2 linked regions of the Rhinolophus ferrumequinum genome follow. The protein of the gene in region 1 purifies or fractionates together with the protein of each later gene. This does not show direct contact. Links are inferred from orthologs where the notes say so. Each region holds a gene or a part of one and is shown in the gene's direction. Other genes may lie near its edges.

Evidence for each region.
Region 2: the proteins of MTCL1 (region 1) and MARK2 purify together in Homo sapiens (affinity purification with mass spectrometry; 5 studies listed by BioGRID and IntAct, with this or other methods). This does not show direct contact. The link is inferred for Rhinolophus ferrumequinum from reciprocal best matches to the Homo sapiens genes MTCL1 and MARK2.

Annotation. Positions count from the first base shown.
Region 1 is NC_046302.1:9,199,069-9,213,870, reverse strand, and holds the start of MTCL1 (microtubule cross-linking factor 1), read left to right. Parts: upstream 1-8,949; 5' UTR 8,950-9,083; coding exon 9,084-10,118; intron 10,119-14,802. UniProt on the Homo sapiens protein: Microtubule-associated factor involved in the late phase of epithelial polarization and microtubule dynamics regulation.
Region 2 is NC_046294.1:7,480,089-7,494,911, reverse strand, and holds the start of MARK2 (serine/threonine-protein kinase MARK2), read left to right. Parts: upstream 1-7,973; 5' UTR 7,974-8,052; coding exon 8,053-8,106; intron 8,107-14,823. UniProt on the Homo sapiens protein: Serine/threonine-protein kinase. Involved in cell polarity and microtubule dynamics regulation. Phosphorylates CRTC2/TORC2, DCX, HDAC7, KIF13B, MAP2, MAP4 and RAB11FIP2. Phosphorylates the microtubule-associated protein MAPT/TAU.

The DNA of each region.
Region 1 (14,802 bases):
ACAGAGCCATAGATAGGGGAGTCATACCACTATATTCTTGCTGGCAGCCGGGCGACACACACAAAGAAGGATCCACATGATCCGCAATCTGCTGTCCACTTTTCTGCCTGCCAACCAACCAGTGCTGTCATGGCAGTTACATCAGCAGCCAATTGTCCAACCAGCTACCGCCAACCGCCAACCACCACCCGAGCCAGCACCCTTCCATGCGATGCCAAGAGCCTGGAAACTCCTCTCTGGGACTCTGTCCCCACACTCCACCCCTCCAGGGTCTCGCCTTACAATCTACGCAGCAAGCATCTTCCGTGAGGGGCCCTGTGTCAGGAACCCAGCTCACGAAAAAAAAAAGTCCCAGTCCCATTCAAGTAATGTCCCAGGGGGTGTCCCTCAATGTCCACCTACTTTCTGGGCACAGCCAGAGCTCCCAGGGCACCGCCAGTCCTTCTTGAGCCAGTGTCAACTATGGTCAAGCCCTCTGTACATTAGAAGGTGACCAATATATGGACAGTTCCACGTGGGGCCTCTGGTCCCTAGCTGGTCCCCTCTGACCGGGTACCTTGGCCCCACCCCTAATCAAACTGAAAGGAGTCGGCCTCAAGTGGCCTCATGAAGACCTGGAGGGACACTGGTTGCGCTTTCCCAGACTTCTCCTTTAGGCTTCGCCAGAATTGCTGGTCTGGACACAACTATTTCCAAAGTTCCAACAAGAGTGCATTGGGTTGTCGGTCTATCTTCTCCTGATCGACTCCTGCTGCCACAAGATCATGCCACATCTGCATGCGTGTTACTTTCTGAGGCTTGCGACCTCGCCCCCTTACTTTTGACTTGGGCTTCCAGGCCTTAATTTCTCGGACCTCTTGTCTTAACTCCCTTTGCCGTTGGCTTTCAACATCACCTAGGGTGGCAATGGCAATAGTAACTTCATGGATCCACTGCCCGACATAGGGCATAAGAATGGCAACCAATGATCCAAAAGCACTTGCAGGGGCAGTATCCAAAACCAGATCTCTCATACTAGTTGTAAAATGCTCATCTTCCGGCCCCTGCATATTAGGGTTGGCCATTGGCTGTAGCTGGTTGGCCAACTGGCTGCTGATGTAACTGCCATGATGACTCTGGTTGCTTGGCAGGCAGAAAAGCGGCTGGCAGATTGCAGATCGTGTGGATCCTACTTTGTGTGTCTCGCCTGGCTGCCAGCGAGAATATAGTGGTATGACTCCCCTATCTATGGCTTCGTGGGTGTTCCTTTTTGGCTTCACCATATCCTGCGTTCTTATGTGGGGAGCAGGAGCTGAGACCCCACGTGACACCCTGCATGACACATGGCCCAGGCAGACTGTGCCTCCCGTTCCAGCGCAGCTTCTCATGGGCCTTCTGAAACTGAGCTTTCATACGTATAAACTGCTCCATTGCCGTACAGAGAGTTTTGGCCGACACCAAATCCTGCTTGCTGTGCCATGTGTCATGCCCCTCGCCCCCAATAAAACAAAAACAAAAACAAAAAAACTCTTGAACTTGATACATTTGTAGAAACTTTTAAGAGTAGGAACAAGGAAAGAAAGGCAACTTTTATGATTGTATGAGGACACAATATGTTGGAATGTTAGCAGTATGCGGAACATTAAAGATGCAAGGTAATGGCACAGGTATTAGTCTTGTCATCCTTCAGAATAAAGACCTGAAGGAAAACTATAGTAACAATGGCAGCTTTTGCAGCTCTCTCCAATTCTGCAAATTCCTCGCTGTGTTCTTCTTGACACCTACTTGTTCCATTGGTGAGTTATATTAGCTATGTAACAGGCAAAGATACACTAACTACCTACTGTGTGCAGATTTCTGTACTGCCCTGTGGCTCTGGACTAGAGAAGGTTGCACTGTATAGAGAAGTGCAAGAATATGACGATTGAGAGTTGAGAAAGAACCCTTTGCCCAGATAAGAATCTTTATAGCATCCTTGAAAGATGGCCATCAGCCTAGACAACACCCTTCCAGAACACTTGCAATTATACTTTTGGAGATGGCCATTCCATTTTATCTCACTTATCTTTTTAGGGATGAAAACAGTTATATCCTTCAAATACTGTGTTAATGAAACAAAGAACGTTTGGATGTTGAATAAGAAATGACTTTTTATTTTATCTCCTCTTTCTATGCTTCTATGATTATTTCGTTTTTCATTACTTGATACATTTCCAGACTCACATTAGTAGCTCCCTAATTATACGTCAGAAGCATCCTACAGAGAAAATAGAAATAAACACCAATTCCCTCGCGTGGCAGAGAGGACTTAGGCGTGCAGGAAATAGCTGAAAGCTGTATCCTAGATTATAAAATGGCATTGTGTTGGTGCAAAAGATAAGGTCCTTGCTTCACTGTAGAACAAAAGCAATTTATGGAGCTAAAGACTTTCTATTCAGCGTCATCTCCAAAGTAGGCTTGATCTAGGCAAGTATTAAGCAGGTTTATTTGCTCAGAGACATATGGCCTTTAAATATATCAATAATGCTTTTTTAATATTTATGTAGTCTTTTTCAAGGAGAAATAAGACCCATTTAAGTACAAAAACTATCTTTCACATGTTCATATATGTGCAAAACAGAATGGATGCTATACTCAGTTTCATCCTGAGTCCTTGCCTTATGCTGACAGTCATAATTATCATCACACCGGGAACACACACACCTCTGGTGGAGTTAGTTGGGTATACTGCTCGTGACAGTGAGGGAGAATGACACCATGAGAGCGCTCAATAAGAGGGTGTTAGAAAGGACAGGAATTTGGACTTGTGTTAGATGATATTGGGGAGGGTTCAGTGAAGGGGTAATTCTATGACTGGGGATCTTAATAAATCTTATCTAAAAGGTGGGACGATGGGAGCCAGGCTAAAATTGTAATGGATAAGAAGCAGCAGTCATTCAAATTAGCTGGGAGAGAGAGATGTTTGCTTATTTCTGAGGTTTAGAAAATGTTTGTATTTTATCTGTGTTCAGACATGACTATGGAGTGGCCTTGTTTTTGTCTTGATCCATCACAGTCCCAGAGTGGCCTCTTTGTCTGATGTTGAGGTTCTGTGACACTGTTTATGTTTAACAGGAGAATGCCAAGGCTTAGCTTTGAGAGCCAGGCCAGATCCTAGGAACATGGAGGCCTCAGTGAGAGTGGAGGCCAGCTCTGGATATCAGGGGCAGCTTTGGTTTTGTTTCCTCTCTCTCTCTCTCTCTCTCTCTCTCTCTCTCTCTCTCTCTATATATATATATATATATATATATATATATATATATACATATACATATATATATGTATATGTGTATATATATATATATGTATATATGTATTGCACTTCATTCTGAAGGAAACGATACAATTTCAAATCAGTACCTTCTTCTCAAGAAGTGGTTTGAGAACATAACATTGATTTAGCATACACTCTTCAACAAAAATGAAGTTTACACTTCACTGGAAAGAAAATACATGAGGAATTTATATTAGTGTAATTCTCAATGGATTACAAGTATTATAGCTAAGAAAAACAATATAATGAAACACTGAATAACCAGTTCGTAAAATTTTTTATATGAGCTTATAAATCCTATAAAGTCTGATGCCACACATTTTTCATCCCTGCTATGCCCAATATTTATATATAACCTAGTATTTTAGAAGGTGTTCAATAAATAAATAATCTTTAAATGAATGAGTGTATAAATGAATGAGTAGATAAATAGGCTATGGATATTCTTTAAGTTTTCTATTTCAATTATACTTAAAAGAGTTAAAGAAAATGAAAAGAGTTCATGTCTTTTTAGTGAATATAAACATGAGTCAGTCAGATCCAGTCAGGAGACAGTCTTACCTTGAGGAATGTACATTAATCATAGGTGACCATACAGTCCGAGCTGCCTGTCCAGGTCCAGTTCATGCCTGTTGTCTCATGTAATTATTAATAGTAACCCCTTTCATTCAAATATTCTGTAGTCTTGATGATAAAATATGTGATCACCCGAAAGCAGTCCTTATAGAAGAGAGGACTGCTTCAGAATAACAACCTGTGGATACCAGTGATGGGAGTTCCTAAATCAGGGGTGACAAATGAGAGGACTGCAAATGCTTTCTAAGGCCTCTTTCTGCTCTCAAATTCTTAGACCCTGTGGGCAATATTTAAAGAGGCAACTAGGAAATGGGCTTATTCTAAGCAGTAATACTGAGGACCACTTAAAAAACATGATTAACTCTCAAGAGTCTGCCCCTATAGGGTAATCAGGAATATGTATAACATTTATCACACTTATTCTGTCATATTAACCTTCTTAATTATACTATTCTTCTGTTGACATTCGTTTATATTCTTTGAGTGTATTTTGTTAGAGAATGAACAGAGATGACCTACAATTTACTATGAATAATCCAAGGTTGATAATTAAAATGGCACTTGCAAGTTCACTTCAACCCTCAGATTCATTAAGCTGGGACGTACATTAAAGCTTATTTAAGTTCAACACCCTGATTTTATAGATGAGGCCTCGAAGGCCCAGGAAGACTGAACTATTTTGTCCAAGTTAGTGAATAATCATTGTGACTAGGCATAGAACCAACATTGTTTTATCTTCTCAATGGTAAAATTCTCTTGACAGTAATTTTACATAGAAATAATAATTAAAATGTATTTTTAGGTGTGATCTTATACAGTGTCCTATCTCCTGAATTAATCAGGAAACTTATTTCATAAGCACTGTCTGCTATGGAACCTTCTATAAATCCATTGCTCTATTTTTGCTTTCCATATAAAGCTATTCTTGTTTTGTGTGTAAAGATGTGGCCATAGAACCTGCATTGTTACCAAGTTAACCAGGTGATTTTAAGGTACGCAGGTTTAAGAGCCTCTGAAGTCACCACCACCATTACCACCTTGCACAGCTGCCAATCTGGGTATGAGGAGGGGTCAGTGGGTCCTTGTAGGACTGGCCTGCTTCAGGTCCCATATGGCATTTTGGCAGTAACCCTGCCAGAGGAGCTGGAGGCACCCACCCACCCCCAGGGTGAGATATATCAGCTTCAACCTCAGGAGGGCCATCTGACTTCAGGTTGTCTCTTTTAAACCCCTAACTTTCCTGAAGCACCAAAATAATTGCCCACTCTCTTAAAAAAATACCTCCTTTCTACTCTTTTCAAAGAAGACGATTTCTTATGATTTAAATCAGGAATGATTTTATATTCTAAATGTGCTTTTGTGCTAAGGGAAATAAAACTGGAAAATAGCTATATGCTTAGGTTTGGACAAGGTTTTGAGGTTGTAGAAATTTTGCCTGTGAGTACAGAGCAGTAAGGGAAGTGTAGTCCTAAATCATATTTTTTCCCTCTATGAGTCAAACCAAGTAAAAACAATAAAAATCATTTCTCTTTATATAAATGTATAGATACAGACTAGATTTCTAACTCGCTCTCCAAGTTTGGTTTGCTCACATTTTAAAGAGTATTGAAGATTATTCCACTGATATTAAACAATAATGATGATATTGATAATAGTACCTTACCTAAGGCCATGAAGAATACAAGTGACTCAGGCAGGATTTGAACCCATACCTTATTTACCTGGTGTCAAAGCCTCAGCACCTGTAACCATACCACACTGCTCTTTGACAAGGAAGTCAGGAATGTACGTCATAGCAAATTACTTCTTAAACCAATGCTGCTGCGTACAGTTCCTGGGCCTGTACTTAGGCTTCTGCAGAAGAATGAGAAAATTGGAACAACACAGGACTTAAAAAGCAGGGAACTGGTTACAGGGGTCAGGGAGGAGTCAAGAGGCAAACCGGGCAGTGAAGTAACCCAGAGATCTGCAACCACAGGAAGCCACTGCCACCCTTGACTGAGAGGCAGCAGGAAGAGGCGAAGTTATCAGAGAAAGTAGGTCATTCAGTGAAAGCTGGAACTCCAATAAGCCAGTTCATAAAGGACACCCAGCCACTCTGAAGTGGCCCCTTGGGGCAAAGAGAGAAGAAATACCCTGGTTTCTCCCTTGCTGTTACACACTCCAGTCTCCTGACAGCACCTCCCACTGGCTCAACCCAATCAGCAAACCCAGGAACCTGAAAAACCAACCTTTAGGGGTTGTTCCTCTCTCTACAGAGTGCAGTCAGGGAAGGGCGAGGAATGGGTCTGAGGGCAGACAAACCCTAACAGACACAACCACACTGGATTTTGTTGTTTCCCAGAATAAAACATTTTAAGGCTCCTTTAAATAATCACCCCCGTAATGCCTTTAGACTAACTTGACTGAACAACAGAAATTTTTTAAGTCACATGTGACTTTGAAAACATCTGTTATGCAAGCAGGTATGTTTTTCTACCACCTACAGAAATATTGGATTCTACCACCTCACCGAATATTGGAAAACAAGGAAAACATTATTGCACACCTCCTTGCCAAGGGCGAGCAGAAACAGGTACCAGGGTAATTAGGAGTACAAATTTTGTTTGACTTATTACACTAGGGAAAGGTAAGCTGGCTATAAATAGTGTGATCATCTGGCTCATATTTTTTGGAAGACAAATTTACAGAAACATTTTTAAGATGGCCTTTTACATGATTACCTACGGTCTGAGGAGCTGGCAAGCTTGTGCTAAGAGTCCTGGACATAATTCTTCAGAAATGTGAGGGTGTTCGAGACTTCTGAGTGTCTGGAGGAAGTTCTAGGTGAAGGTTCTGGAGCTTGAATTCCAGCGAGTCCTGCTCTGGGGACTGACAGCTATCACTTTTCTGATTAACTGACAGTCGCCGGAAGGGGAGAGTTTGAGCGCCCTCTAGGGGAGAGCTGGTCACGACAGGCATGGTGGCTGGTACCTTTAAAGCCTTTCTGCAGTGTTGTCATCACCAGGATCTTTTTTTCTCCAAAATCTCCCGAAATATGGCTGTGGTCTTATTAGATCTTGCATCAAAGGAAATTTAGTACAGATTATATGTTGTGTGTGCTGTCACACAATGACAGGAATTGCCAGATTAACCACTCACAAAAAACGTAAGACAGCAGCAGGGCACCGAAGTTTCAGTGTCCTCAGAGTTCAGTCACAGGACCGCGGCTGGCATCTCCTTGGGGATTTGAGGAGAAAGCTGACCGGATGTCTTCTGGGAGTATGGCTCTCCTGACTTACAGGAGGTTTTTAAAAAATCACTTTATCATGCGTTTTTTTTGAAGCAGGTGGCTAAGTAGAGTACTTTGTGGTTAAGATCACAGAGTTTGAAGTCTGTTTTTCCTTTTCACAGATTTGTCCCCTTTTCTCTACCACTGCTCCTCATTTGTGCTTACTGCCACAGCTCCCCTCACCGGTTTCCCTTGCTCCTGCCGCCAGTGGAATCTTTCTAAGCAAATAAGTTCAGTCATGCTCCCGATCCTCCAACGCGTCTACCCCACCCCTCCTGGTGAAAATACCCAAAATCCGCAGCAAAAAAATGTGGTCCCACCCACCCTCCTGCGTCATCTCACGTACTGCCCCTACTTGCTCCTTAGCTTCCCAGCAAAGCCGAGTCTTGTCAACAAGCTGTGCCTTATTCATTTAAGTATTGCCCAACATCTTATGCCTAGGACTAAAACTGTGCTCAATGGTATTTGAAAAGTACTTTACAGTTTACACAGTGTTATCTCATATTTGCTCAGTTAATCCCACAAACACTCAGGTGTCAGTATTTTCTAACCATACAGGTGAGGGAAACTGAGTCCCAAAGAGGTCAGTGGCCCACATTAGACTCTCAAGTGGCAGACACAGTACTCAAGCTCCTGGTTCTCTGAGGGGATCGCATGTAGGACTGAGAATTCCACAGACATGAGTGTGAATCCCGGCTCAGTCCAGTACTGGCTAATGCACCAACTGCACCTCCCTGCGCCTGTGTTCTCATCCTTACAGAAGTCATAATTCCAATTCGGGCTTGTTATGAGGATGAAATAAAACAATACCTGTGAAGTGTCTAACAGTGCCTGGCTCGCTGCTGGCACTATAAATGTGAGTTCCCTTTCTGACCCCAAGCTTGGCCAGCTGCTTCTCCCGTTTCTGCAGCAGCTCCCCCTTCTCTGAGCTCTGGAGGCCACTGAGGGTGCCTGCCAACTGTGGAGCAGTGTGTCTGTTTTGACGCGATAGCTGCATCAGGTACCAGCAATCCTTAATGGAGTGTGGAGAGACTACCGGCATAGCGTTGAGAGGACACCAGTGGCGGGAACTAACGGGCTCTGGGAGGCAGGGGTTGGATTGAGGGTCCTCTGGTTGGTCAGCCGAGGGAAAGCGGCGCTCTAAGGTACACACCACAGGGAGGCCCACCCACGACTCCCGGACCTCCAGTCTCCCCCAAGTGGCCAGTGCCCGCACCCTTCCCCCCCACCCCCACTTCACCTCTCCTACTGCCCTCCCTTCCCAGCACCTGGTACTGCCTCTGGGCACTCAAAAGGCAGGGAGGGTCCCAAGGCAGTGAGGGCTGAGGGACGCAGCCCGCGAGCGAGCCTGGGGTAGCGAGGCCCCGCCCTTCTGCCCTCCCTCCCCCACCACCAGCGCCTGCTGGCAGCAGGCGGGACATGCGCACCCGGCGGCCCGGCGCAGGGCGCCGGGAGGCGGGGGAAAGCGCGTGCAGTTTCTCTCCGCCGGGAGCGGGCGCGGGCCGGAGCGGGCGCCCGCTGCTGAGCGCCGGCCGGCCGTGGGCGGGGAGCAGGACGCGGGAGCTGGGAGCGCGCCTCCAGCGCTGCCGCGGGACGAGTGCGGGTGTGCAAGGCCGCGGCAGCGCACCCGCGAGCCTGGAGCGCAGCGTCCAGGGGATGCGAGCGGTAGGGAGCTGCTGCGCTGCTGTGCCGGGAGAACTCGGGCAGCTGTGACCTCAGCAAGGGGAGAGCGAGGCGACGACGACAGCGAGCCCCGCGGGATCCTCGGGGCCAGGGGTGCGGGGGGGGGAGGGCGGGCGGCAGCGCGGGAGCGCGGGAGCGCGGGGCGCAGACCGGGCGGGACTGGGGGACAGTGATGAGCGAGCGCGCGGGGAGATTGCACACTGCCGCCGCTACGCGGAGCATCTTCCACCCAAACTGCTGCTCACGGTCCCGGCCCTGGCCATGGAGACGCTGAATGGCCCCGCAGGCGGTGGCGCCCCGGACGCGAAACCACAGCAGCCCAGACAACACTACCGCCACCACCTTCACCCCCTGGCGGAGCGGAGGCGGCTGCACCGCGCACCCTCGCCGGCCAGACCATTCCTCAAGGACCTGCACGGCAGGCCAGCGGCGCCCAGCCCAGCCCCTGCCGCCACCTCCTCCGGCCGATCCTCGGCGTCCGCGGCCCCGCGTTCGCCCAGCCTCGCGGGCAAGGCGCCGCCCTCGCCGGCGCCCTTGGCCGCGCCCGGCCGCCTCTCCAGGCGCAGCGGCGGTACCCCTGGAGCGAAGGACAAGCCGCCGCCGGGCTCCGGGGCCAAGGCAGCTGGCGGTGCCAAGGTCGCTCCGGGCCCCAAGAAGGCAGTGCGCGCAGGGCCCGCTGAGCCGCTGCCCCGGGCTGGGAAACCTCCGCCTCTGGTCGGGGCGGAGCCGCCGCCCATCGCAGCCAACGGCCGCAAAGCCAAACGAGGCTCCGGGGCGACCCCAGCCCGCCCCGCCGGTCCCCCGACCCTCGCCGCCCCGGTCCCAGCGGTGATCCTCGCCGTGACCTCCTCGGGCAGCCTTCCTGCCCCTGGCTCGCGCATCAGTCACACGGACAGCAGCTCGGACCTCTCGGACTGCCCCTCGGAACCTCTGTCCGACGAGCAGCGTCTGCTCCCCGCTGCCAGCAGCGACGCCGAGTCCGGCACGGGCTCCAGCGACCGAGAACCCCTGCGAGGAGCCCCCGCGACGAGCCCTGTAGCTCGAGGGGCGCCGCCAGGCAGCCCAGAGCACCCCGCACTCCTCACCGCGCCTCCCGCCGCTGGAGCCTTCCTCGGAGGTCGGAGCAGCCCGGGCGGAGCGGAGGATGCCGGGGGGCGCGCGCCCCCAGAACGAGCGACACCCGGGACCCCCAGGGAAGTCGGCCCGGGGGAGCAGACCCGGCAGGTCCCGGCGGGGGAGGAAGAGGAACTGCTGCGGGAGATGGAAGAGCTGCGTTCGGAGAACGACTATCTCAAGGTGAGCAGCCGGCTGCCGAGGGTGTCCGGAGGCGACTCTTCAGGGGCTGGGTGCGGGCAGGGACCCACGAGCCGCGCCTTCCTGGCCCTGACAAGTGCTTTCTCCTTTCTGCCTTTCATTTTCCTGTTCCCGAACACACTGGCCATTGGCAACTTAAGCTAAAAGTTTTGGAAGGAGCAACAAGATCTGTGGGTCCGGGCAGATTCTCAACCCACTTAGCTTTTCTTGTTTCTAAAAGTTTTGCTTCTCTCGCCTGAGGCCTTTGTCCTTGTCGACGTGCTGGGGGAGAGGTGGTTATAATCACGTTTTGGATGCACAATCGATCCCCGACCCCCCTTACGTGCCCACTCTCACCTATGGGAGCGCGTTATCTTCTGCCAAGAAGGTCTGGTCCCGGCTCCGTACGGAGGTGTGTCAGTTCCGGAGTGTGCGGTGGTCCATGGTGCCCACCAGCCTGCTGCTTCTCGCATTTACCGAAAGCCAGGCGCCTTGTGTCTTCCTCCGGGGTTCAGAAAGCACAGGCAGCTTTCCATGATAAACCTTAAGTTCAGGGGTCCTTTGAGTGTGGCCTAGGTTTAGTTTAGGGACAACAGTGTTTGTAAGCTCAGGCCTCTAAGCGTTCACGAGCCGTTTATTCCTAGTCAGGAGAGGCCACTTGATTCCCTCTACACGCCAGCCAGCACTTTCGAGGGAATCGCAACCTCTGCCACCCGGTCTCAGTATTTCCCGGCAGGGCCTGCGAGCCATGGCCTCTGAGTCTTGTTAGCTTTCGGGCGCTCAATGTGACTCCATCTTTTCTCGGAGGAGGAGGAGGGCTGGCGCTGCAGAACAGAGGGTTTTAGCCAATGTTGGGGTAGTCAAGACAAGATGACCTGAGAGAAAATAAGGGGGGTTATATTGAGGGCAACGGTTTTAATTTATTGTAATACTCAGGTTAGTAAATAGTTCCAGTGGTATAAACCTATTTATGTTTCTATTAAGAATATATATCCCCCCCCAAACCATTTGGGGTGGCTCTCCTTTATCAGTGTGTTATGATGTGTACTTGTTAGCAAATGCTGAACCTACCTGATTGAGGCCCAGTTTCTGGTAGGTGGGACGAAGGGTGTGGGCTTTAATGGTGAGTGGTGGTGGTGTGCACAGTTTCAACTGGAATCAGTTAACTGCTGAGTGTTTCCTAAACCTTTTATCTGACCAACTGAGCCCAGTAGATGTTTTATCTTGTATAGAAAGGTAACAGTGGGACAGAGGAGAAACGTGAGAAAAGAGAGAAAAGAGAATAGATTGGGACTTGGAGTGAGATGCGTGTTTTCCCGAAAATAAGACCTAGCCAGACAATCAGCTCTAATGTGTCTTTTAGAGTAAAAATTAATATAAGACCAGGTCTTATAAGACCCGGTATAATATAATATATAATAAATATAATATAATATAATATAATATAATATAATATAATATAATATAATGTAATACTGGGTCTTATATTAATTTTTGCTCCAAAAGACGCATTAGAGCTAGCTGATTGTTCGGCTAGGTCTTATTTTCGGGGAAACAGGGTATTTAGTATATATTTACTATTTAGTATATAGTACATTGCTAATCTTATGTAATAATAGACAACAAAGTGAAATTCAAAAGTGTTGAAGAGAAAGGGCAACTATATTGTGTGGGACTCTATCTGAAAGCAGCACTTTGGTAAACTCCCTGAGAGCAAGAAAGATAATCTTGATCAGTTTTGTAACCCCAACTCTTAGCATAATCCATGACCCACTGTTTCTGATTGATGTTGATCCAAATCATGACTGCTAAGGAAGAAAAAAAAAATTTTTTATTTGAGAAAAGATATTTCTCGTTACATCTTGGATCTTAAGGTAAGCAGTCCAACATCATTTCAGGGTTCATTTCTGGGTAACTGGTTATTTGCTTTATCTTTTCATGTTGTTAGTTTCTCAGTGAATGAAATAGGTGCCTGACCCTGGAGGCTGATCTGGTCAATTTGATATTTCAGTGAATCTTCACAACAAATAGGGAATGATTGTTGTTATATTTATCATAACCCCAATTTCACAGACAAGGATGCTGAGACCCAGAAAACGTAAATGACTTGCCCAAGGTCATACAGCTTATAAGTGGTACAGCTTCCATGTTCCCTGCCTCCAGAGCCTTTGCTCTTTTCACTGCACCAGGCTGCAACCTCTTTCCAGCAAGGCTGCTTTTCTGAGAGTAAGCTGCTTGCCTTAGAGTCGTATTAGCTCAAAATGTCCCCAGTGCTTAACTTCCCTAGGGCGCCTGTTTTTCTTTTTTTAGGTGAAAGGGCCATAATGAACATCTCTCCACTAGCCTGTGTACAAATGGTCATATAAGTATCACTGGCAATGTTTAATTTGTGGGAAATGTTCAGTTGCCATTTCCTGTGGAGCAAGTGTCATGGCCAACTGTTTACTATGCCTGAGGCCATCTCCCAGCCATTCCTCTGACAGCAGGAGAGAGAAATGGGTAGAGGAGGTCTGAAGGGGACCAGAAGAATGATCACAAATAAACGATCACAAATATACGTGTGAGTTATGTGTTTGGTCATTCAAAAGCTTAAATTAAAACAGTTCGATTTGGGAAAGAAACAACAATCCTGGTAGACTTTTCTAAAGGTCAGCCACTTGTGCAAAATTGGGTGGGGAGCATAGATGACCTCATGGGGTAGAGGCTGTAGGCATGCCCTCACATGTGGTGTTTAGAACATGTACATTATAAGTCAGAACTTCTCTTTTTATTGATCTTTTTGCTTAGCGGTACTTTTTTAGATGGTAGGTGAAAGTGCATTCTTGACTTACTGCTTTCTTTTTTTTTTACCCTTTTTCCGCCTCCCCTCCCCACCCCCCACTCTGGTTCAAGCTGCCCTTTCTCAGTCTAGTTGTATGGGACACAGCTCCCTGACCCATGCTGGTACCATGAGCCTTGCGCCTCCCTCCCCCCCCAGGCAGTCGGTCGCAGGTTGCCGGTCAGCCGCCCACAGCAGATCACTGCAGCTCTCGCCAGCCAAGCTGGCAGCCACTCACGCTGGCCACCAGCCGCTCACGGTGGCACATGGTAGGTAGCCCATGGCAGCACACAGCAGCCTTTGGCAGCTCACGCCGACATCCATCTGCTCACAGCAGCCCAGTTCCAGGGAGAGCCATTGTTCACAATCTTAGCTGTAGAGGGCGCAGCTCACCTCCTGTGTGGGAATTGAACCTGCAACTTTGGCGTTCGAGCACGGAGCTCCAACCCCACTGGGTCGACCTGACCTACTGCTTTCTTAGGGAATATTGCACAGTATTGTGGCGATTGGATAGAGCATCCCTCTGTTCAAATGTTATCTAACAAGAAGAGACTGAGCCCAGAAATTTTACTTTGATATATTCTGGAGGATTGTGAGCACGTTTAGTGTAACGTTCACAGTTTTGTCATCATTACTGTATAAGACTGTCATACCTTCTAAACTAGAATGGCCAAGGGGTAATCGAGCAGAAAAACAAGGCATGCAAAACCATAGGAGAATGTCTTATTGGTCGGGAAATTCAAGTGGAGTTCTCTGGGTTTTTAGCCAGACTGCTGTATTTTTTAAAAAACAGCAAATGTCAACAGAGAAGTGCAGTATGGGGCCATCTCTGGCCCTACTTTCTATTCCTTCTCTGCCTTCATCAAAGGGCATCAAGGTGACTCAATGAAAAATGCAAAAATTCCTCAATCCAAGTAGTGGGCATTTTGCATAAAGCACAGAAAAGCACTCGTTTGTTTGCCCTTTATCTCTGATGAACTTGGATATATTTGGAAGTATTCAGAAATTTAGGTGAACAGTTGAGCTCAGTTACCCAAAGTCCTTTGCTTTTTTCTCAAACCAAACCCAGGCACGTTTCTTAATGAAGAGGACTTCCACAGAATGTGGCTGGTGTGTATCCTGCCTGCCACCGCTGTGTTTTGCTCAAGTGTTCTGAGACAATCAGACAAGCCTTAGTGCTCATTGTGAACAACATATTAATTATGTTCTCTGTTTCCACAGGCTTTTCAGAAGGATCTAATCACTTTGAGTTTATAGGCCTGTTTTGAAAAGGCTTTTCCCATTACTGGTGATGGCACTCCCATCACCCCCAGCCCTTGCTCCCAAATGGTGTACTCCTGAGTGCTGACTTTTTGTAGGATGGCTGAGGGTTGGTGTAGGGAAGGGCTGCTGCTTTTATTTATTTATTTATTTTTTGCTCTGCTTTCTCGGTTATTTCATAAGACTTATTTTTGGTTAAAACAAAAGAAGTCAGTGCTACCTACAAGGGCAGGTAACATTGATTGGACTCTTTGAGAGGAGTGATTTCCTAAGGGAGATCATTGGGAAGGTCTTTATGGTTTTATAAGATGCAGTGCATCACCACTAAACCAACCTTACCATCCTGTTCCTCACTTGCGGTCCTCTCTTGAGTTTCAGGCTCTGACATGTTTGTGTTAAATTTGGCTGCCTGGATTCCAGGCTCTCAATGTGGCCCAGAGAGAGAGGGCACTGTGAGGTAAGACCAAGCAGTTCTGAAGTGCTTCAGCTCCTCCTTCTCTCCTCTGGCCCCTGCTCCTCCTCCCTTTCTTTTCGAAGGGTTAAAGTGGACAGCATTCCTGTTCTTCCCCGACGTTCCACTTTCTACATCCATTCTTGATTCAGCCTGTG
Region 2 (14,823 bases), on another chromosome or scaffold:
CAGCTGTGAACGAGACAGAGTCCTGCTCCCTCAGCACCCCCATCCAGGGGAGACACAGCAGACAAGGTTCTGATATGGCCAGCAGGGGTGAGTACTGGGAAGAAAAACGGCATGATGGAGGGGCGCGAGTTTTTCCTTTTTCTTTTCTTTTGTTCTTTTTTTTTGATCACGGATATTTCCAGACACACCCAAAAGAAGAGAGAGAATGGCATAATGAAGCCTTATGTACCCAGCTTCAACAGAGGTGGTCAATTTTGGTTTATCTTCATCTCCCCACGTCTCCGTCCCTTCTGGGTTATTGTAAAGCAAATCCCAGACATGTCATTTCATCTGTAAATAGATCTGTTGGTATCACTGAGAGATTCAGACTCTGTTCGTGTCATTATCACACTTTAAAAATCAATAATGCCTTAATGTCATCTATATATAGTCAGTGTTCATATTCCCTAACTGGTCCATGAATATCTTAAAATTTTTAATTGTGATAAAACACACATAACATAAAATTTACCATCTTAACCACTTTCAAGCGTGCAGCTAAGTCATACGTACATTCACGTTGTGCAACCAATCTCCAGAACTCTTCAGGAATATCTTTTTTTTTCCTTAAAGATTTTATTGGGGAAGGGAAACAGGACTTTATTGGAGAACAGTGTGTACTTCCAGGACTTTTGTCCAAGTCAAGTTGTCCTTTCAATCCCAGTTGTGGAGGGTGCCGTTCAGCTTCAAGTTGTTGTCCTTTCAGTCTTAGTTGTGGAGGGTGCAGCTCAGCTCCAGGTCCAGTTGCCATTGCTAGTTGCAGGGGGCACAGCCCACTATCCCTTGTGGGAGTCGAACCAGCAACCTTGTGGTTGACAGCCGGCGCTCCAAACAACTGAGCCATCCGGGAGGCAGCTCAGCTCGAGGTGCCGAGCCGGCGCTCCAAACAACTGAGCCATCCGGGAGGCAGCTCAGCTCGAGGTGCCGAGGTGCGGTGTTCAATCTTAGTTGCAGGGGGCGGGGCCCACCATCCCTTGCGGGACTCGAGGACCTTGGCAACCTTGTGGTTGAGAGCCCACTGGCCCATGTGGGAATCGAACCGGCAGCCTTCGGAGTTAGGAGCATGGAGCTCCAACCACCTGAGACACCCGGCCGGTCCATGAATAGCTTTATAGCCCACTTGTTTGAATCAGGATCTAATGAGGTCCACTCTTGCATTTAGTTAATATGTTTCAACTTGTAACAGCCTATCTTTCCTCTTTTTTTTTCCTTCTTTTTCCTTGTTTAAGAACACAATGACGTGTCCTGTAGACATAATTTCCTCCGTTCTGGATTTGGCTGATCGCATCCGCCTCATACCATCAGCGTGTTCATCCATGGGGGGGGTGCAATGTTGAAAGGGGGGCTGGAGAAGGTTTCCTCGGGAGCAGACATCTACGCAGAGAGAGCCACGCAGTTAAATAAGGAAAGGGGGAGTTCCAGGCAGAGGGGACAAGGAGGGACAAAGCCCTGTGGCTTTCTTTCCCCAGGGATTCACAGCCTGCTACACGCCAGGCACTGTTGGAGGCACCAAGGACACCATCGGGAACCAGAATACTATGTCCCTGCTCTCCTTGGGACTGGAGACCTCAGTCACTGCCCTCCAGGGGCAGATGGCAGTGAGGAAGGCGGAGTATCCCCCCGCAGATAGCCTGCCTGCCGGCTCTGGGAGCTCCTGTACAGCTTTGGGTACATGGGGACATCATCTTGGCACACTGGTGAGTTATTGCCCGGCCTGCCCTCCACCTCTTCCAGGAAGCCAGTTAGAGCCCTGGATGCCAGCTGGTACCGACTGCCCTCTGCCAACTCCAAGTCGGGGGCTGCTGTTGGCCCGTCTGACATCCCCCCAGATGGGAATTCCCTGAGGGCTGGCCTCCTTCATGCCTCCATGGGTTGCTCCCATTACTGCCAGTCCTTCCTTGTAGCCCTTTGCTTATCCTGGGGATCAGACTCAGCATCACCTCCTCTGAGAAGCCTTCCTTGCTGCTCCCTCCATCTAGTTCCCATGCTCCCACAGGTCCCAGATCACCTCCTTTGGGTATCTTCCTCTGAGCCCCATTAAAAACTGCCCACTTATGCTTCTCATAGAGCCTCTGCCAACATGGCAGCCCGGCTTTCCATCCAGGATGTTTGGCCTTCTCAGTAATGGAGGTGGCAGTACCTGCCTGTGGACAGTGACCCAGTGTGGGAGTTTAGGTTGGTACAAAGGACATACCGTCCCAGGAAAACAGACTCTGAAGGTGCCCTGCCGTCCTTGTACCCTTTCTTCTCCCCATCCCTTCCCCAGGTTGGTGCAGTAGTCTCCTTGGACAGTCAGACCTTCCTACTGTACTGTAGGAACATATGAGCAAGGCTGGAAGGGACACTGTCCCCTCCATCCCAGACATGGGGCCAGGTCATGGATGAGGAAGGGTGAGACAGGCGTTGTTGCTGGGTTAGGATTTTGGAGAGTGTCTTAGTCCATTCAGGCTGCTATTACAAAATACCATAGACTCATGGCTTATCAACAACAGAAATTTCTTTCTCATAGTTCTGGAGGCTGGGAAGTCCAAGATCAAGGCGCTGGCAGATTCAGTGTCTGGTGAGGGCCCTCTTCCTGGTGTATAGAAGGCAGTCTTCCTATTGTGTCCACACATGATGGAAGGGGCAAGCAAGGGAGCTCTGTGAGGTTGCTTTTCTAAAAGCACTAATTCCGTTATGCCCATTAAGTCATATGGAGTCCTTGAGACCTAATCACCCCCAAAGGCCCCACCTCCTAATGCCATCACTTGGGGAATTAGGATCTCAACATGAATCTTGAGGGGATACACATTCAATCTATAGCATTATAGAAGACCCCATAGAGAGCAAAGAGTCCAGCTCCCCCTCATTGTACAGACAAGGGACCTGAAGCCCCAAGGGGGGAAGGGAATTACCTAATGGCTTATGTGATCCATTAGGGACAGAGCTGAGACCAGAATGGGCTCTCTTACTTCTGATCCACTGCTGTTCAGGGAAATGGAGTGGATATAGCAGAAAGCCTTAAAGGAAGACTGGGAGGCTGGGTAGAGTAGGCTAATAACAGCAGCCCACACTGAGCGCTGGCCATCCATCAGACTCGAAGTATGTTTCATATATTAACTCATTATAGCCTTGCAAATTATCCCCATTTGACAGTTGGGAAAATTAAGGTGGACAGAGGTTCAGAGGCTCGCCTAAGATCACGGAGCTAGTAAGAGGCAGCCTGGCTGGAGGCCCGTGGATAACGTTTGGTAGCCCCTTGTCACTGCCCGACTTCCCGCCTCTCACGGGTTCATTCCCCTATGCCCACTCCCCTAGCAGAGTGCCGAGCGTCTCTATTCTTTGCTTTCCTTGTCAGTAGACCGGGGGTAATAACTGCCTCCTGCTCACTGTAACTGATGATGTCTACACAGCTCGCAACTGCACGTGTGTTAGCAAAACCAGGAAGGGGAATGAGACCGGCAGTTCCTGTCCTTGTGGTGGTTGGGGAGGGAACACCGATAACAAACGTATTCTAGTCTATCAGTTCTAAGATGCACGTTTTTTCGCACTCTAGCATCTCTGGAACGTTCTAAATTCAAGACGGTATATGGCGATGGTGACAAAGCGCATGATGGAAATTCAGAGATGCCAAAAAAAAAAATAAGGCAAAGCTCCTCGAGACGGGAAGGTCTCTGACAAGTGAGAGGGCAGGAGTGGGTCTTGGCCCTCCTTGATCAGAGGCCAATTCTGGACCATTCACCCACCCCCTGGAGTGGCCTGTCCAGCATGAGCATTACTCCAACTCCACTGGTTGGGAGGGGAAAGATTGAGAAGAGTTTCGATGTTTCAGAGGGGAGAGAATAAGGATGTCTTTCTCTCCAGCATCCCTGCCTCCCTTTGCTTCTTTCCTCCCTTCCTGCCCACAAGGGTGGGTGGGGGGGGGGGGTGGGGTAGATTGCTACCCTCAGGCCCCTTCGCTGTGCTGGAGCTGGGAATCCCATAGCTCTGCCTTCCACGGTTCCAGTGGGCATCACAGCTGCCCTGGACCACTGGTCATGTTGGTTCCTTTCTACCTGGTCTGGAGCTGCGGTAGATGCCTTTATTTTTGTCTCTGTTTTGTTTTCAGTTGTTCAGGTTGGAAAGCTTGGAATTATCTTTAACTCCTCTCTCTCACAGCCCTCCAAACTAATCCATCAAAAAATCCTGTTGGCTCTACCTTCTGCATATAACTCAAATCCGACCCCTTCCCCTGCTGCTGCCCTCTCCAAGCCACTGTCATCTCACACTTGAATTATCGGAAAAGCCTCCTTCCTGGATTCCAGGCTTCTGCTCCTTCACTCTATTCTCAGCCCAGCAGCCAGTCAGATCACGTCACTGCAGAGACTCCCTATCTGACTCTCAGGGAATGCCACAGCAGTGGCCCTCCAGGCCTGGCCCCATATCACCTTTCTGCCCTCTACGCCTACTACTCTCCCCCTCGCTCACTCTGCTCCAGTCTCATTGGCCGCCTGATTCTTTAATGAGCCAGGCCCGCTCCTGCCTCAGGGCCCTTGCACTGGCTATACCCTCTTCCTGGAATGCTCTTCCTCCATATCTGCAGGGCTCACTCCCTCACCTCTTTCAAGTTTTTGCTCACATGTCACCTTCTCAGGGAGGCCTATATTGACCACCTTAATACTGCAATTTCTTTTCCACCCCTACACCCCAACAATTCTGATCCCCCTTATAGCTGCCTCTATATTTTTCCCATGGCATTTAATACTTACTATTTTGTTTGTTGTCTGTTTTTCCCACTTGAGATGTAAATTCTCCGAGGGTGGAGATCTTTGTCTATTTTGTTCACTGATATACCTAAAGAGCCTAGAACAGGGCCTTGCACATAGTAGGTGCTCAACAGAGATTTGTGGATGAATGAATTTGTAAATTAGAAAGGGGTAAATGTGTGGCAACATATAATTAATCTTTGAAGAGAACTAGGAGGTTTCAGGAATTTGAGAAGGTGATACTCGAACTGGATCTTTAAGTACACCTGGAAGCCTAGGTAGGTGGCTGGCTAATTGATCAACCTGAACAAAAAGCATGGAGGTGGCAGAGCTTGGTGGCAGGGCAGGAGCTGGGGGGAGGTGTCAACCAGTGATACCTAGCTGGAGAGGATATTAGCAAGATAAGTAGAGGCCAGATATGCAAAGCTTTGGATGCAGGCTAAAGGCTTTCCTACCTCCAGGAGCAGCTACAAAATTTGTGGGACCCAGTGCACGATGAAGATGCAGGACCCTTTTGGTAAAAATTTCAAGAGAGTGACAGCAGAGCATTAAATCAAGCGCAAGGCCCTTCTAAAAGTAGGCTCATGAAGCCAATCCTGCCTCTCCTACAAGGGAGCCTGTGAGAGCCTTCAAGAAAGACAGAGATGTAATTGGAGCTGGACTTTAGGAAGATTATTCTGGTGGGGTAGGTTGGAGGGAGTCTAGGCTGAGAGACCAGTTAGGCAGCCTTGTGTGGAGGGAGAGAGGAAGAGGAGGAGACAGGTGGGGTGGGGGTGGGGCTAAGAGGCAGAAGGCTGGGGTGAGAATGTGAATGAGTAGAAGCAGGGAGGTGGTAGAGTTTCTTTAGGCAGGAGCATGGGTCGGAGAAGACCCGAGTGCACCTTCCTTTGCTACTCCAACCCCTTCCTCTTTTCCCTTCTTTCCAGACCTAAGCCTTAGGAGTGAGATCCGCCACGAATCGGCAATGTGTCTCTCTTTGGCCACCAGAGGGCAGATCATTCTCATGGATTTTCAGGATTAATTTGGGGTGGGGGGTGTGGAATGGCCTCTGTCCTCACGTCTTCCTCCCTATCTCCCTAACCTCCTTCAGCGATTCTTCACCAAGTTCTTCCTCAATGGCTGAGTGCCTGAATGGAGCTGGTGCAGGGCATGGGGAGGTGTTCTGGAGTCCAGTGTATTTACTACAACTGTAGAGAGTACCTGTTGCCTTAGGAAGTACTTTCATACCACCCTCTCATTGCATCTGTCCGGCTCTGTATTTCTCTGGTTCACTTGGCCACGGGCTCTCTGCTCAAGATGCTATCGCTGGGAGTTAGAAGTCAAGTGTCAGAAGTCCAACCAGCACTTTTCCCCTCAATCCCTGGGGCCTCTCTGCTCCTGTACCTTTGGGGACTTGGTTGAACCGGGTCTCTGGCTCCTGTGGGAACCCTGGCTTCTGCCCACCTTAAGCTGTACTTGAGCCCTGGGGCAGGGGCAGGAAGGCAAGTTCCAACATGTCTGGAGTAAGATGGATGGGACAGCTTGGAGCCAGAGGAATCAGATCAGCCTACTGCTTTTCCCTGCTGAGACAATTTAGGGGGAAGTGAAGATTGGACCCAGGTTGCCAAATGGACTGTTGGATCAGAGGCTCTCCAAGGATGAGAGGGAACTCAGAGCGGACGAGTCCAAAGACCTCAGTTTATTGCTAGGGGAACTGAGTCCCGGGGAAGGAAAGGAACTTCTCCAGGTGCCCATTCTTTGTGCCACCCTGAGGAATTCTCATTGGCAACCAATGTCTGTTTTCCACGAGTTTCTTTGTCTTAGAAGGGATAACTCAAATGTGAATTAAGATGAGAACGTCTTTCCTGCCTTAGTTTGCAAGAATATTTTAAAAAGTACCTGGGAGGACTCAATATTACCGTGGTGTGATGTTGTTTTGTGCTATTTTGAACAATTAAGACTTTTTTTGGGGAAAAAAGGCAACTAGAATTAAAAGCTGTTATTTAGAATCTCATCACTGGAACAAAGGCATTGACTCGTTCAATACAGGGACATCTCGGAGCCTAAGCTCATGTGATGACGTTATGTGATTTTTCCAAGATCACACAGCATTTTCGTTCCACACACCGGGACCAGAATGCAGGGCTCAGGAGACCTTTGCAGTTGGGAACCACGGGCGCAGCCCTGGTGCTTGCCTGGGAGCTTGACAAGAAGCCAAGACAGACGGTGGCAAGTGATGAATAGTAGATGGACAGGTAATAGAGTAATGCTACATTTGACAGATGACACATTTTGATAGACAGTTTGGATGATAAACGAGATGGACTTTATGAGCTGACCGACAACGAACAGACACGCAGGTGGGAAGTTGGTTTAGAACCAAAGGATGCCAATGGCAGGGACGGCTAACGGCCTTATTTTCTATTTAGTTAAAGAATAACACGCTACCTGTTCAAGGTTTGAAAATATCCGAAATCTGACGGAAAGAAACGAAGTCAGACTCGGTACCACCCGAGGGAATGACCCGGGACTCGCCCGGCCTCGGGTGTTGCCGGAAATGGCCGACGATTGCCGTCGGCTGCGGGACTGGGCGGGGCGGGGGCGTGGCCGGCTCCCCGCACGCGGAGCGGCTTCGGGTGTTTCCGGAAACTGCCGAGAACCAGCTTGAAGTGGGCGGGGAAAGGCCTGTGGGCGGGGCTGGAGTACCCGTAGTCGCTTCGTGTATTTCCGAAAACAGAGCCGAAGCTTGGTCTTCACAATCGAGGAGGCGCGCGCATCCCTGGAGGTTACCTTCTTCGGGTGTTTCTGGAATTCAACCCATAGTCGGTGGCCAGGAGGAGGAGGCGCGGCCCCCTCCCGTTCCTGGCCGCTTCGGATATTTCCGGCTGCTGCCGGCGGAAAGAGCCGAGGGCCGGCGGTGGTGGCGGCCATGTTGGGAGCAGCAGGTCCGGCGGCGGCTGCCTGTGTGCCGGGCGCGGAGCAGTGCCGCTGAGGGCAGGGGAGGAGCGAGGCAGGCGGCCGGCTGCGGCGGCAGAGAGTAGGCGGAGCGGCGCGGCCCGGCCGAAAGGCGGCACAGCCCAGCCGGGGGTCGGGGGGGTGCGGTCCGGAGCCGCTCGGAGCCGGCGCGGCCTAGCCCGAGCGGCGCATCCCCGGGCTGGCGTGAGCGGCTGCCCGGCCTCCCCGCACCCCCGGCCGGGGCCCATGCGGCGGGTGCCCCTGCTGTGAGAAACCCCGCCCGGCCGGGCTCCGCGCCTTCCCTTCCCTCCCTTCCTCCAAGCTTCTCGGTTCCCTCCCCTGAGATACCGGCGCCATGTCCAGCGCCCGGACCCCCCTACCCACGCTGAACGAGAGGGACACGGAGCAGGTAAGGAGCCCCGATGGCTCCCCGAATTCTCTGGCTGGGCCCCTGCACCTTGCAGAGCCTCCTCCCTCTCTGCTCTCCTCGTGCCCCTGCTGCTATCCTGCAAGCCTCGGCTTCCCTGTCATCGGGCTCTCGGCTCCGCACATCCTCCTCCGAGTCCTGTCCTAGGACCCACCTCGTCCTGACTCCACGCTGCACACTTGTCTTTCTGCTGGCCCCCCCTTCTCCCTTTACCGCCCTCCCGCGCTCTTCCGTGTTACCTCCCCAGCTTCCCCTTCTCTTCCCTTTTTCTCTCGGGCCTTTCTGGTCTTCCTCCACCCACGCTTCAAGCAGCCACCCTCCTCCTCAAATAGTACCCAGCGATTTGCCCCAGATGGTTGTCCACGTCTTCTTACATCTCTTTACCCTTTTCTCCTCCGCCCGCACCGGTTCTCCCAGTCCCTGGTCATCACCCTCAGGGTCCTTGCCCCGGACTGTGTTCTCGGTCTCTGTTCCCTTCCAGTTCCCCAGCTTTTTTTACCCTGCTTGTTCCTTCTCCAAATTGTGTTCTCCCTCTTGCTTGCAACCCACCAGCTCCACCCTCATCACCTTTCCAAATCGTTCGCCTACTCTTTGCTCATCACTTTCCCTTCTTTTCAACAGGAGCTCCCTGGTGCCTCGCGCTGGCATTTGTTGCTTCCGTGTTTCCCATACAGCTGTCATGCGCATAGTTTTCCCACAGGTTGTCTTTGGGGTTCCAGCCTTCACTCCCTTCAGTCTTTGCATCCTTCATGTTCTCTTCCCCTGGCTTTGTCTTTTAAGTCTCTTGGCCTTCTGTTTGTCACTGTGAGTGCTTTGCCAGCCTTCTCCCTGGGCTTTTCCTACTAAGGGAAACACACTACTATTTCTTCCCACTCCATTATCACAACCTGTTGCTGGGTCCTTTCCCAGGTCTCGCTACATCACCCTCCTTGCCTGTCTTCTTACACTGCAACGCAAACCATGATGCCTGCTTGTCTGTCCACTCCTGGGTCTGTCACTTTTCATAGTATCTTCCTCCTTGCTTGTTCCCTTCTGATTTCTCTACCCCATCTTCCTTACTGTGCCTCTTAATCAGGATTGCCTCTCAGCTCCATATTAGTCTCCCGTCTTCTTCACGTCGTATTTATTTTCCCCCATATGCCCCTATCCATTCCCTTCCTATTGACTAGTCTTTGTAACTTCCCATCCAGGCATTTTGCATGCGAGCTTCTCAGTCCCCCTCATCTTAACAAATCACTGCTATGGTTTGGCACCCAAGCCTAAGCCTTTTTTATGTCATCTCACCTCTGAACTGAGAGACGTCCACCTTCCACCCCTCCCCTTTCTTTCACCATCTCCAGTGTCCCTTGCTGACTGCTTTGTGGAGTGTTCCCTGCCTGTCACACCCTCCTTGGTGGAGAACTTTACTAGGCCAAAAAAACTTAACTTGAGAAAGGAGCCCTTCTCCCCTGGGGCTGCAGTGCTTTTTTGCATCCTTTTACCTCATTATATCCTTTATGTTTTCCTCTTGTTCCTTTTGTATCTTTGTAGCCCAATGGAACTGTTGCTATATTCGCTTGCATGTTAACATCCTTCTCTGAAAAATCTTCCCTCTTTCCATCATTCCTAAGTTTTCCTTTTTTATTACTCCCCCCTGCCCCCCTTGCTTTCTGTCACCTGGGCAGTCAGGAACTCAGGAGGAGTTCTGGACTGAGTGTTTCTGTGCAGTGGTTGACCCTTTCGTTACTGATGGGTTGATTGCTTCTGGAAGTGAAGCCGGGGTTGAGAGGGAGGGAGGGATGATTTCCATTGTGTCCCCGGGTTTGGGTGCTGGTTCTGCATGGGCTGGGACTGAGGGCTTCACAAACGGGAGCGCCTCGCTCTCCAGCTGTTTCTCTCCTGACTGAGAACCACTTTCTCTAGGCCCTCTTGAGGTTGCCTGTTCCATTTCTTTTCCTATCACAACCTTTGTTTTAGCAGGTAAACCCTGCTTAACCAGAGAACTTTTCCCAGACTGCTGATTATGAGCTGGTAGGAGGAGGCCAAGGGACTGACTGGCTGGCACCTTGCTGCATTTGGGGAGTGGCAGTGGATGCCTGCTCCCCGCGAGGCTGTGGGGGGCATTGTGTTGAGCAGAGTAGAGTAACAGACCGCCTCAATGTGGTTCCTTTGTGCTGTCTGCTAAATGTAAATGTATTCTTGCCATGGTCTTTTCTAGTGATGTGCGTGTTGATTTCTTCTCTCCCTACATGCCTAGCATACTGCTGAGCATGGTGGGAACTCGGCACACACCCACTGGTTTTATGATGGCCGGAATCAGTGAACCATTTGGGAGTGGAAGCTGTTCTTTGATAACTTTGTCCGGAGCCGTGGCTGCATGCAGTGCCATCCCGTTCCAAATTATGAATTATCCCATTTCTGCTCTTGATGAACTTAAGTTCTCCTGAACCACTTCCTAGCTTCTGCTCTTCTCATGGTAGCCAGTCTCACTATTGACTTGATATTAAGTCTCATCCTAGTAAAAGCGTGGACTTTGGGAAACCTCGGATACACCTATTACAGTCAGGTGCCTGTATGTTTAAAAACAAGAAGAAAGACAAGTAGCATCTCCTTGGGTCCCAAGACCAGGGATGCCGGAAGCATCACTTCCTTTAGAATTGATCATGCCCTCAGATGAGAGAGCAAAAACAGCTCTTCTGTTGGGATTCTAACTAAGTAGTCCTGGAAGCTCAGTCATTGCAGCAAGCCTTTATGCTATGAAACAAAAAGCAGAAAAGCAAGGGATTTGGTTGGGCTGATTCCTGCCCCCCCAGAGGTCCTCTATCACCTTATTTAGATTTAAATTATTTAAATTGGTGTCACTGGAAAATAGATAAACAAACCCCACTGGTTGTCTTCAAGCTCCAGTCTCCTTTTGCTCTTCCTCTCCTCCAGTCTTTAAAACATGTGGCTGATGAGAAGCTGTTTCCAGGAGCTCTTTGATCACATCTGAACTAAACACACACAAACATACAAAGAAAATGTTGAAGCATAAAAGTAAACCTTGTGTTGTTGCAGGGGGGTTGCCTGTTTGCTATGGACTCTGCTTCTGACAGTGAAAGTAGGAGATAAAAGAAAGTCAGCTCTGTCTTTAAGATGATTTTTGTGACACCTGGTTTCAGATGTGCTTTATCACAGCCAGACTCTTCTTCCCTCTTCCTTTTGCAGAAGGAAGATTGTAACCAGGGGCTGGTAGTTTGGGGGATTCTTAATCTGTGAGCTGAGCTTTCTGTTCACTTTTCCAAATGGCTCTTCTGGCCTGGAGGCTTGGCAGTGGGGAGTTGCAATCAGCAAGATGACTGTTTTCCAGCCAGCAGCAGCAAATAGGCAAATGTGGAAAGGGATCCAACTTCGAGAGTTTACCTGCCGCTGCCTACAGCTGTCTGTAACACCTGGTAGAGGGGCTACATGGCTTCAGGCCTGCCCCATGTCTGGCCTAAGGAGCCATCAGAAAGGGCTCCCAAGAGAAAACAGGAGCCTTTCATAACCCCCCCCACACACACACACACTTCTGCTACAGTGGGCTAGGGAGGGCGTTGCTGTCATTCTTCTGGCAAGTGAGTGCCATTGTTCATTCTCTCAGCTAGATCTGGGAAGAGGAGTTTGGATGTCTGGGTGAAGAGGAAATCTAACATATAGGATCCTGTAAAGAACAACTGAGCCACTCCAAACACATGTATCGCTTGGCTCCCAGGGTTGGTTCTGGCTGAATGTAGGACTGCATAATTGGTTTTAGTGTCATCTCGTGAAGAGCTCGGTTAACTCTCATTTCTCTCCATGCCCTGTGAGTTGTGCGGCACCGGGCTCTGGGTGCTGCTGACTCTGACCTCTGCCCTTTGGCTCTGGCCAGGGGCTCCTTATTGGTGCTGCCTTCTGGTCAAGAATGTGGCTGAATATCAGACCATATACAGTGGTACCTCTGTTTTCGAACGTACTCCGTTCCAGAAGACCGTTCGGGTTCTGAAACGTCCGAAAACAGCCGACAGCTAGGCCTCAGGATCTTGCACTCAGCAGAAGCCGCGTGACATGTTCGACTTCCGAGGCATGTTCAAAAACCGAAGCATTTATTTCTGGGTTTGCGGTGTTCCTAAACTGAAATGTTCGTCAACGGAGACGTTCGAAAACCGAGGTACTATTGTATTCTCATTTTCTGCTTGGCTCTAGAAATCAGGAATGAGATATTATTAGAGTAAGGGCTTTAGGAGTACCTGGAGTTCACAGAATTGCCATACCATGACCTTTGAACCCCAGTAAAGGTAACTGCCGAGTAAATTGTAATAATTTCTCAGTAATCTGTGGATTTGGGGAAGGAGTTAAACAGATGGATACACGGCAGTCATTGAAACGTGGCCTGCCTCAGATTAAAATCAAGTTTGCATAGAGATAACTGAATTTTTCCAATGGTGACCAAAGATTGGGCCTGAGATTTTTTTTTTCAGTGTAAATGTCTTAAGCAGAGTTGATGCCTGTGAGGCAGGAAAAGGTTGAGAATTTGTCTGACTGCGAGGCTGGTGTGGTTAGGTCTCTTGGGAGTCGAAGGCTTCTCAGACTAGACTTCTTCCCTTTTGAACAGAACAACCCAATTGTCAGTAGCCCCTTGACCAGTACAAACCCATGCCTTCAGGAATTCTTCCCATTGAGCACTTAGCCACCTGGCTGGCTACTCCCTCCTCCCAGGAGCTTCCGTGACTTTCCTACATATATATTACGTCGACTTGAATGAATATTTTATGCCCAGAGTGCAGCCAGGCCTCAGACTTTGTGGCCCATTATCGACAAGCGGGATGGGGGCTGGGCGCCACCTTTGGCCCCCTGATTGCGTCTCCGCTTAAATGGACTCCCCAGCAGCACTTTGAAGCCCATTAATGGATTGGGGTGAAGTAACCTCAGCAGATGGAAAGGGCAAAGAGGGTGGTGGTCCTTCCTTCCCTGAGACTGCCTGATGAGGCTTTCCTGTGGAAGCCAGGCCCAGCCCCAAGCCCCTCTGCTTGGTTAAGCTGTAGACAGACTATGGCTACTAGGCCTCTGCTTTGAGAGGAGGTGTGGAGAGTGTTTCATTTTCTCTTAGCTGTGGTGGTGCTGCCAGGTTTGCCACTTGCCTGTCAAAGCAAAAATTGAGAGGGATGTGGACGGGGTGGGTGGAGTTTAAACCTGGCCCTTTCTCCTTCAGCGGAAGTTCAGCAAAATGACAAACCAGATAGTGGCTGAGTTTTCTTCTCTTGATGGGAGATTCCAGCATTTGTACATTTTGCACTTAAAGCTGGGATTCTCCAGGCTTTCTCCCAGCCTTCATCAAACACGGGTGAGTCACTGAAGTGTTATCTATGCATTTTCCGCTTCTGTCTCAGCAAAGGGAAGAGTAAGCCTTTACAAACCTTGGGGTGGAGGACACCACCCATGTCCCACTTCTGGCGTGGGAAGAGACCACCCATCCCGTGTCAAATCTGGCGCTTAGAGCAGTGTCACTACCCCCCCACAACCCGCTGCACGTCCGTCACTGCTGTCTTTTAGGCTTTGAGATGGTGCTCTGATTCTGAAACAGCAGCAGGAAAGAATCTGGCCTCTTGGTTTCTAGCTCTCTCTCAGCTCTTGCCCACTAGACCTACTCCTCCTTTTGGGGGGATAGATAGGCTCTATCCCTTCATGTGAATGAATGTTTTTGCCTAGAGTGTTGGAAGTTTCTGGGGTCCTGTGGGGAATTCTTTCTACAGATTTCTGTCGTTGGGTTGGCATTCATTTCCCTTTACATCTGTTTATTTCTTACATTTCTCATTAGAAAATGGTAAAAAGGGCAAAAACAAATGCATTTCTCTTTCTGTCCCATATGATTAATTTTAGGCTTATAAAGCCATATAATCACAAGGTTTGATAGGAGAGAGGGTGAGATGGACGCTGATACTGGTGGCTTGGTGAATCCTGTGGGACGGTGGGGTGGGGGTGGGGGGGGAGAGAGAGAAGAGGAGGGGTGTGTTCAATGGCTGGCTCCAAGCCACCTTTTTCTTTTTAACATAAGGAAGGCGGAGCAGACCTGAGGCTTCTCTGTAGAACCAGTCAAGCTGGTTTTGAGCAGCCTCGGCCTATTTTCCTCTGTTCTTTGGGAAATGGGCAATACAAAGGTCCGCCTCCTCTGGGGCTCTGCTCATTGAGGCATGAGTTTGGACGATGTCTGTAAACAACCCCCTCCCCCCAGTACTGAATGGGTCTGAGCTGGGCCTCTCCACGTGAGTGGGCTTTCTCTACACCCCGTGCACCTCAAGGTAACTTTGTTTTACACACCTTTCACCGGAAGCTCAAAGATACAACTCTTTCTCTCGAGTCCCCTTTGCAATACATAGGTTGGCAAAAGCCCCTCAGCCTGGCCAGGAGGGAGGGACTGGGTCTGTGATTTTTCTCCCCATCGGTGGACCTGGAAGGGAATCTGGACTCCTGACTGCTGGCTGTCTTGATCTGCCTGCTAAATCCAGTGACACCCCAGACCTTGTGGCTTGGTGCAGTGAGACTGTCTGTCTGTCCAGGCCTGCTGGGGAAGAAGAAGGGGAGAGAACTCTAGTAGTTTTCGGTCTTTGGCAGCTCAGCAGGTACTTCAGCCACAGGGAACAGTTTGAGTTTGTCCCTATCAGGGTACCTGTAGGAAAGGTGGACGCCATCAGTCACCATACGCTGGCACTTCTTGAACAGCAG